Linked DNA regions of Caenorhabditis elegans. The protein of the gene in region 2 purifies or fractionates together with the protein of the main gene of each other region. This does not show direct contact. Each region holds a gene or a part of one and is shown on either strand. Other genes may lie near its edges. The genes, in order: F08F8.6 and acdh-12.

Region 1 (4,822 bases), on a different chromosome or scaffold from region 2:
CGTTGAATCTCTTCGTAAATCTCTTGGTGCTGAACCATTCTTCGATGTTCATTTGATGGTCTCTAATCCTGGACAGTGGGTTGAACCGATGGCAAAAGCTGGTGCCAGCCAGTTCACATTCCATTATGAGGCTGTAGATGGTGATGTGGCAGTCAGTGAATTGATCGAAAAAATCAGAAAAAGTGGAATGAAAGTGGGATTATCGGTCAAACCGGGAACTTCTGTTGAGCATATTTTGAAGTAAAATCAAAATTATATTTCAATCTAGATTTTAAATTAAAAAACTTTTTAGACATGCTAATCATTTGGATAATGCTCTTATCATGACTGTGGAACCAGGATTTGGAGGACAAAAGTTCATGGAAAACATGATGGAAAAGGTATTTATTTTGGTTTTTATTTGATACGAATAAAATTTATGGCTTTCAGGTTCGCACAATCCGTTCAAAATATCCAAATCTGACTATTCAAGTTGACGGAGGAGTAACACCTGAAAATATTGAAATCTCTGCTCAAGCTGGAGCCAATGCGATCGTGAGTGGAACTGGAATCATCAAAGCTGCAGATCAATCTGTCGCCATGACAACAATCAGAAATGCAGTTGAAGCTGCTATTTCGAAGTGCTGATTTTCTTAATTACTTGAATATTGTTTTGAATTTTGAAGCTCATTTTTTCAGAGCTTTTTGAGGTTGTGATGTTAATAGTTAGTAAATGATTGTCAATTAAAAAATTCAAAGCAGCATTTATTTATCTATAAAGTTCAGATGGGCTCTGCAGTTCCTAGCTTCGGGGTCGGAGCAGGTGTCTGAAAAAAGAGCATTACAAAACATCATGGACCATTCTTCAGTTGCTTACATTTTTAACACTTTCCTTCTCCTTGCTCGGAGTCTTCTTATCCTGATTTGATGGCAATACTCCAGTACTTCCAATTGTATCTTTACTCGGAGTCTTTCGTGGTTCGATATTTCCTGCCTCTTGGCTCATTGCAGTATTCAACGACGGCTCCTTGCTTCTTCCTCCAGCATTTGCAGTCTTTGTAGATTGCTTCGGAGTCAACATGATCTCACGAGACGGCTGCTTACGATTCGGAATTGGAGGAGGAGAACGTGGCAATGTCTTTTTCTGAAAAATTGGTTGTACTTTTGCTCAAGATCTTGGAGTACTACAAAAGCTAAAAAATATTTCGAAAAATAAAAAACGAACCAGATCAGTCTCACTCTCCTTTGGTGTCTTCTGTAAGCTGAGCATGGCCGATTTTGGAGCAGGCTGAAAATTGATTGAAATGAATGAAAACACTCGAGTGAACATACAAACCTCTTCAATAGTTCCAAGTGTCATAGTCTTCGATTTACGAGTATCTTCATCTGAAAATTGATTTCGATTATTTGCAAGAAATAGACAGACACTTCACCAGTCCCTTTCCTTCTGCCTACCTAATACTTACTTCACACCTGCCTGCGTACGTGTCCACCTCATCCCTACATCTTACGGCTTTGCCGACTTGCACAACCCCCCTCAATACCTACTCCCTGTCTATCTGACCACCAGGGCAACCAAGTTGCTGGTTGCCGAAAATTGGAGCGTATGGCAACTAAACAATAACCGAGTTCTGATTCTTACCTCCCATCGTGTCATAAACACGTTCAATATCAGATGGTGGAAATGTGACATCTTCTGGATATCGATTATCTTTTTTTCCTGGTTTTGTTTCCTCTGAAATAATGAATTTTGGAGAGACAGATACAGAGAAAGACATACGTTTTTGTCCATTTGTCGAGTAGTTCACATTGACAGAACCCAAATGATTAGGATGACAGATTTGTTTGCAGATTTCGATTGGAAGGAGAATTTGCAACGCCTGAAACTAGTAAAATTAAATAACTTTTTATGAAAACTTTTCTATCATAATTTGGGGCATTGACCAAAACCAATTTTTTCTAAAAATAACCTTATCGAATGTTTATTTTTGTATCGGAACATTATAGAAGTTCGAAACTACAGTTTATTCGTTAGTTTTTCATCATTTGACTTGAGAGTCGTGATAGTACTTCAGAGACTCTTCGGATATCTACAGTAACCTACAAGTGTATTGTATGTGTGAATATAATGTTTTGTAGAAGTATCCAAAAGAGAGGTGTTCAATTCACAACTATCGAAAAGGGCAATTTCTGAAGAGTTGAACTTGCCTCGTCAATCAAATCGATGATTGCATTATCCAAATCCTGTATCGTACTCCATAGTTGAAATGCGTTGAAAACCGAGTAAATGGTACTCAACAACGCGATGAAGCAAAGTGCAGAAGCTACAATCCATAATCCAAGTGCCAGTTTATTATAATGAAAATATTCACACTGGTGTTGCTTGAGTAAGTTATCGATCGTTGTTGTCTGAAAATCCGATTAACATGAGAACTGCTAATGAGGTTCCCAGCCACGATGCAACTAGATTCCACTTCAAATTAAACGTGTCAAGTATTAAGAAACCATCGGTGCATGAGAATGTCTACTTTCTGGCGCGAAAATGGCGGCAGGAGAGATTCTTCGGATATCTAGAGTAATCTAATTGTAAGAACATGCGGCGATGAGAATTTAGGTACCTTCGCTACGAGATATTCCCGCGCCAAAACGGTAGGCATTCTCATGATCTCATGGTCTCTTAATAATTTCTCTTATTTTCTTCTGTGGCATTTTTGAGTCCTAGACTCTTTCAAGTACTATATGTGTCCCCATTCACTCCACCTTTAAGATTCACAAGATTGAAAGTTTCACAACTTACCGAAATTATTGCAGTTGTAACATTTGAAGAATTGTTCATTTTTGAATAAAATGAAGCAGTCACTTCGAGGAATGAAACACTAAATGTGAAACACTACATGGCCAGAGAAAATTTGACCTTTCAAAAGATAAATATTTATACGTGAATTTTGTTTTAATTTTTTGCATATAAATCAAAACATTCATTTATTAAGTAAAAATATATAATTTGTAGGTTAAAAAAACAACAAACAAAAGTTAAAAAAGGGGCTCATTCATATCAAATCCATCATCATAGTGATCAAATTTGAGATCAGCTCCAAAATCTTCATCATCGTAATCTACGAATTCGCTGTCGTCTCGCTGGAAAAACGATTTTTAACCGGTGACTTTAGAGCCTATATTAATGTAATGTAACTCAAGCTGCATTACTGCTATCCTGTTTCTACCGTAACACTCACCGTAAACTACTAAATAGATTCATTTAAAGTAATGATGTTTTTGATACATATTTTTAACGGGATAGTCAGAGTGTCTTCGTTTTTGAAAGTATTTTTATACAGAAATAAAACTAGGAAATGCTAGTGACGTTAAATTTCCAAAACCTTGTATAGTATATTTGTATAGTGACCAGTATCATAATATTATTTGTACCAATCAACGAATAAATTGTTAAAATAACTACGATCATACCTCAACCATCTCCAACCATTGTGCATTGTGCCATTTGAATCTCTCTCCAGCTATCCGTTTTGCCCATTCTTTTGAATGTTCACCCATTATCAAAAGGGCATTATCGCAAACTTCTCGAACCACTGCGTTTGCATCGTGCATCAAATCGATCATATGGGCTCCGAGAGCTGAATCTTGAGTCATCAGGCGAGCAGATAGTTCCTTTGAAAAATTTATATGAGAGTTGAAAAAACTCTAAAACGTTATACCTTGTGCTTTAAAAATTGCAAGAAAACGTAGAGAAGTTGCACAACAAACTCATCATCAATTTGGCATGCTGAAAAAAAGATTGCGATATTTTTCAGTAATTTATTTGTATTCTCGATACACCCAAAAAAGATCAAAATGACACCAGTAAAACACTTCAAAAACGTTAGATTTTAAAAAAGATTTAGCTGAAGATTTGTTAATTTGCCAATTACTTCCAAAAATATGTACTTTTTGAGTAATTTTGAACATTTTTACATGTTCGATTTCCTAGAATGTTCAAATACAATTGAAACACAACTAGTTTCAATAATTTCCATTTTGTAATTTACCAACTGGCAAAGCTCCACCTTTAAATCTGATTGTGAGGAAAAATGAACTTTTATGTTTTCAAAAGTTACTGGGGTTTTATTATGAAACAAACTCTTAAAAAATAACTTAAATTTATGAACGTACATTGTAATAACTGCACAAATGTATCAATCAAAGGAGCCAATAACCTAGCTGCATCCAATTGCCTAGCCATTGTTCCACAAGCAATTACAATTTGTAGTTGGAGAGGTTTTATGTCTCGAAGTACTGTCACTTCTTCGGATTCATCAATTCCTTCTTGAAGTTGAGTTTTCATCCAAGGAACAAGATTTTCAGATTGAATTATTCTATAATTTAAGTTTTTGATTGGAATTCCGAACTCAAAAAGCTCACTTTGCCCACGGAGCAACTTTGAGCTCAGCAACTGTACCCATGCATTCTAAACCAAATGAAGATTTTGACTCTGAGTTGTCTGCTCCTTCATTTTTTGCAATCCCGATAAGAGTTTCAATCCACTTCTGAAAATTCTAAATTTAAATAACAACGTTCATTTTTTTTCGTTATCTATTTTCACCGTTCAATAATAATTCAGTTCTCAACTTACCAAAAACATATTCTGCGTCGCACCTTCGTGACTTGAAATCGCTCGAACAACCTTTATGAGCATTAGATCTCTCGAGTTGATAGACATTTCCATAAGAAGATCTAATCCTTGACCACGTTGTCCACATACCAACTGAGCATTTCGTTTTTCGAGGCAAATATTCAACAGGACTGCTTTTGTCACTTCACTTCCTGTTCCACTTAGCACATCTTT
Region 2 (5,107 bases):
TCTTTCCATTTTCATCATAAGTGGTAACATTTCCAAGAATCAAAGCACCGGATCCTTTGTCAAGAATATCAACGACTCTAGCTTCAGATTTCAATTTTCCTTCTGCTGAAAGTGGTTGATAGACTTCAATATATTGTTCTCCGTGAAGAACTCTAAAATGATTAAACATGTGTTTTCAAGAAATCTTATAAGAAAAACCTCTGAAGATCAAATTCAACTCCTGGCCAATCCATCAAAGTGTGAGCTTGAAATCCTGGAGCAACAATGTACGATGGAAGCACTTTAAAGTCTTCATGGTTCTCATAAACGTAGCACAAATCTTCTTTCGCTCGAGCACCAACTAAATGAAATTATTAATCACTATTCAAAAGGTCTTAGAAAAAATTACCTCCAAGAGCATAAATAATAGCATCTCTGGTAGAATATGAGAACTCGCATGGCTCTGCCACATGTGCGCAAGCAGTTTTCTTATCCATTTTTAAGTATTTGTCGGAGAAGAAACAAAAACCAAATAATGAAATAGAAAATGCCAATACCTAACAAGGAATCGGTACAGTGTAGTCTTGACCCCATGTGTTGATAAGACTACGCTGCAGACTACATAACGAGGGTGAAATCAATAGTTTTTTTTTAAAAATAAGCACTAAAAGAATTATTACCACATACTGATAATTATTAGATGTTTTAAATAATTTGCAAAAAAAGTATACAAGGCTTTAAATTTCAATTAAAAAATATATAAAAACTAGACTTTTGTCGGGAGAGATGTACAACGTGTTCATAGTATACTATAGTATTTGGGTTTCAACTTATAGAAAATGATCGAATAAATTTCCTTCGTTTTGAATTTTGAAGCGAAGCACGCACAAAAATTAATAGACCAGTTTCAGATTTCTCTTAATTCAGAAACATTCATCAAATACCTATGACGCCTTGTCGTCTGTTCAATAAAATTAACATGGAAGGTCGATTTATTTTTTCCGATATTTAAACAACCAAGGATTGTTTGTCGACTGTTAAATAGCTAAATTACAGTATCCATTCTACGAACCATTTCTCTTTCTTTAATTAAAAAAATAAAGCTTATTTTTTCGCGTAAAAGCCTTCCGAAAAATTCACACGTTTTCAAACTTGTGCATTCGCTAAATTAGTTTATATTTTCACTCGTTCACTTTCGTACATTGAAAGAATTCCAAATTCCATACGGTTCGTTTCTATAATGTACAGATTTATTCAGATGTAAAAAACATTAAAACATGAGCCGTCAAATATAGTGCCGACGGTGTGAACACACCACCGTAACACCGTGACGACAGATTGCGGATTCATTTTTCTTTCAGAGTACGATGCAGAAAACTTCTGTAATTGTCGTTTTTTTTCTATTTTAATTTATTTTGTGGCCGTTAAAGATAAAATATAAGACAACAAGTGTTCATACGAATTTTTCAGTACCATGAGGTGACCCGTAGAGCTATAAAATCATGTTTTTCTTGAAAATTTCATCGAACCTGCGCTAAAGTGTATTTTATCACATTGTCTTTTCACTAGTGCGTAGCCAGGGCCGTTCAAAGTACATAGGGCAAAGTCTACAAGAGATAACAATGACCGTCCTCCACGTTTCCTCTCCATCGTTTGTGTATGTTGGCGATTAATCAGTTTATTATGGAAAATTTACGAAAAATACTGAGCAAACCATGTTTCCAGTTATTTTTAGTTAACTTTTAAACTTCTTATTTTATGAAACACTCTTTTATGTAATCCAAAAAAAGCAAAAAACCTATTCGTTCTTTTTTGCGTTCATATAAAATGCTAAATACTTTTCTATAAAACTTATTCTGAATTCTATTTATTTTGATTGCTCTTGGACGTTCAGTGTAAAAAAGTATTGTTATGTCTGTGTTCTATGTTCTCTCACATGCTGCGTCTCTGCTCTATCCACCGTTCGACCCCCAAGTTGTTTTCTTCACTCTTTATCTCCGTCATCGCTATTTACCCCCTACTGATTCACTGATTGAAACCTATATTATTGGTTTTTTCTTCCAGAGAAACGATGCTGTCAACGCTGAGTAAATCTGCACGGCTCAACCAAACACGATTCATTCGTCTTTCGCATTCTGCTGCTGCTGCAAAAGATGCAAAACCGAAGAAGGTCGCTGCAGTGGACAGTCCATCATTTGTCATGAATCTTTTCAGAGGGAAAGCTGTGACTGACCAGGTATTTGAGAATTTTAGCAGGACCTGTTCAAACTGCCAATTTCCAGGTGTTTCCGTATCCTCTGAATATGACTGACGAACAGAAAGAAACTCTTGGAATGGTGATGTCTCCACTGGAAAAGATGCTTGTCGAAGTTAATGACGTCGTAAAGTGAATAATAAATCTTAAATTTACATGATCAATTTATTTATTTTCAGAAATGACGAGACTTCTGACATTCCAAGAGCAGTTTTGGACCAATTCGCTGAGCTAGGAACATTTGGTGTACTCGTTCCACCAGAGCTTGAAGGTTCCGGATTCAACAATTCTCAGATGGCCAGAGTCGCTGAAATTGTTGGAGCTTACGATCTTGGATTTGGTGTTGTCATGGGTGCTCATCAGTCGATTGGCTACAAAGGAATCCTTCTCGAGGGTACGGATGCTCAGAAACAAAAATATCTTCCCGATTTGGCAACTGGACGCAAATTTGCTGCTTTCGCTCTTACCGAGCCAACTACCGGATCTGATGCTAGTGTAAGCTAGAATATTATTAATTTCTCATAAACTTTAAATTTATTCAGTCAGTTAGAACGAGAGCTGAATTGTCTGCTGATGGTAAGCACTACGTTTTGAATGGTGGAAAAATCTGGATTTCGAACGGAGGATTCGCCGATGTTTTCACTGTGTTTGCTCAGGTAATTTATTTTCATTTTTTGGAAAAACTTTCACAATTGATTATTCAGACTCCTGTCAAGCAGGCCGATGGCTCAACAAAGGACAAGATGTCTGCATTCATTGTCGAAAGAGCGTTTGGTGGAGTCACCAGTGGACCACAAGAGAAGAAAATGGGAATCAAGGGATCGAACACAACTGAAGTTCACTTTGATAATTTAAAAATCCCGGTTGAAAATCTTCTTGGAAAAGAAGGAGAAGGCTTCAAGGTGGCGATGAACATTCTTAATAACGGAAGATTCGGAATTCCAGCTGCCTGTACTGGAGCTATGAAACATTGTATCCAGAAGACTGTCGATCACATCACCACTCGTGTTCAGTTTGGAAAGAAACTTCAAGAATTTGGAAATATCCAAGAAAAGCTGGTAGAAATGATCTCGAAACTGTATGCAACAGAGTCAATTGTCTATATGCTTTCATCAAACATGGATCGTGGAATTAAGGAGTATCAACTTGAAGCAGCTATCGGCAAGGTTCTAGCTTCAGAAAATGCTTGGCTTGTATGCGACGATGCTATTCAAGTTCACGGAGGAATGGGATTCATGCGCGAGACTGGTCTTGAAAGAGTTCTCCGAGATCTTCGTATCTTCAGAATCTTTGAAGGAGCCAATGATGTTCTCCGCCTCTTCATTGCTCTTACTGGAGCACAACATGCTGGAAAGCATCTTGCCGAGCAAGCTTCTGGAGTCGGGGGCCTTATTGGGTTGGCTGTTTCAAGAGTTACCGGGTTTGTGAAATCACATTTTTAGAATTATTAAACTGTATTTTTCAGAGGAAACACTGGCTCCAACTTTGGGCAAGTCGTCGACGCAAGTCTTCAAGATTCAGCTAAAGTATTGGATCAGCAAATTGCTTTGTTTGGACAAACAGTTCAAGGATTACTCATGAAGCATAAAAAGGGAATAATTGGTAATAAAATACCTTTGAACTGCTTTTAATTTTAATTTTTGTAGATCGTCAATATGAGATGCACCGTGTTGCCGACGCTGCCATCAACATTTACAGCTCTGCCGCTGTTCTTTCTCGTGCCACCTATGCCATCAAGAACAAATCTTCAAGTGCTGATTTTGAACGCAAAGTTGCTACTTACTACGTTGATAAGGTAATTTTTGATAACTGCCAAATTTTAAGTTTTAATTTCGATATTTACTCTTTCAGGCGATGAAATCATCAAACAGATTCCTGAAGGATGCCGGAAGTGGTGTTGAGAATGCTTCGAAGGTAGCAACAATTGAATCATTGGCGAAGGAAGTCTGTGGAAATGGAGGACTCACTCTTCAACATCCAGTTGAATTGTAAATTGTAAACTAGACTTGTTTTTTTTTATCGTAAGAAGCTCTTTTAGCCAGTCTGTATGTATCTAGAATTGAATTGCCTTCTTTTTTGAATTTTCGGGTGCGAATATTTTATTTCTTGTGCTATAAAAAACGGAAAATAAATTTTATCAATTGAAATTTTATACACGAAATTAAATGAAAATAAGCGGATCGAGAATCTGATCTTCTCCATGGTTCTTCTCGTAAACTAGTCCGTCAGCAGAGTATTTCTCATTAAATACTCCTATTTGATCAAACCCAAACCATCCGGAGAATGGGTTCGATGGTTTTGAAATTTTTGGAAGATAACCTTTTGATTCACCGTATTTTTGAAGTTTTTGTGAGTACGTGCTATGCCAGTATCTGAAGACAATGAAACATTTTAAATATTTTTTATATTTAATTACCGTTCAAATACAGCTTTTATTTGTCTATTGATATCTCCATAATGTGGTTCTTCGTCTACAATAATTGCAGTTCCAGTTGATTTGTAAAAGTATTCAGGTCCATAATTCGATGAACCAATGAAGGTTCTTGATTCGGAAATCATGAATTTTGCATGCATCTTACGATCTTTATAAGCTTCTTGAGCGGTTTGTGGAATTAAAATGAACTTCTGAAATATTTATATTTAATAAATGTTCAAATTGCGAAGGAGATTTCGAATATTACTTAAACGCGAAATTTCGCCCCACGAATACGGTACCCGGTCTCGACACGACAATTTTTGGTTGATTGCAAACGGATGTGCGCCTTTAAAGAGTACTGTAATTTCAAACTTCCGTAAATGGTATAAATTTAATCGTGTTTTCCATAGATTTTCTCAATGAATATTTTTGAATTCCGCATCAACGAAATTTGAAAC

Evidence for each region.
Region 1: the proteins of acdh-12 (region 2) and F08F8.6 fractionate together in Caenorhabditis elegans (co-fractionation; one large-scale study listed by BioGRID). This does not show direct contact.

The regions. Positions count from the first base shown.
Region 1 is NC_003281.10:7,341,764-7,346,585, reverse strand, and holds F08F8.6 (uncharacterized protein), read right to left. Parts: upstream 2,898-4,822; 5' UTR 2,816-2,897; coding exon 2,777-2,815; intron 2,389-2,776; coding exon 2,188-2,388; intron 1,860-2,187; coding exon 1,760-1,859; intron 1,715-1,759; coding exon 1,622-1,714; intron 1,366-1,621; coding exon 1,316-1,365; intron 1,268-1,315; coding exon 1,205-1,267; intron 1,124-1,204; coding exon 857-1,123; intron 807-856; coding exon 762-806; 3' UTR 731-761; downstream 1-730. Other genes in the region: F08F8.7 (Ribulose-phosphate 3-epimerase), read left to right, coding at 1-240, 293-380, 430-627; kap-1 (Kinesin-associated protein), read right to left, coding at 3,013-3,117, 3,448-3,648, 3,696-3,763, 4,150-4,352, 4,399-4,523, 4,610-4,822.
Region 2 is NC_003280.10:7,191,707-7,196,813, reverse strand, and holds acdh-12 (Very long-chain specific acyl-CoA dehydrogenase, mitochondrial), read left to right. Parts: upstream 1-2,043; 5' UTR 2,044-2,050; coding exon 2,051-2,215; intron 2,216-2,261; coding exon 2,262-2,365; intron 2,366-2,412; coding exon 2,413-2,728; intron 2,729-2,775; coding exon 2,776-2,889; intron 2,890-2,937; coding exon 2,938-3,653; intron 3,654-3,698; coding exon 3,699-3,835; intron 3,836-3,879; coding exon 3,880-4,028; intron 4,029-4,084; coding exon 4,085-4,225; 3' UTR 4,226-4,380; downstream 4,381-5,107. Other genes in the region: maoc-1 (MaoC-like domain-containing protein), read right to left, coding at 1-152, 199-340, 389-476; E04F6.4 (PLD phosphodiesterase domain-containing protein), read right to left, coding at 4,395-4,605, 4,650-4,858.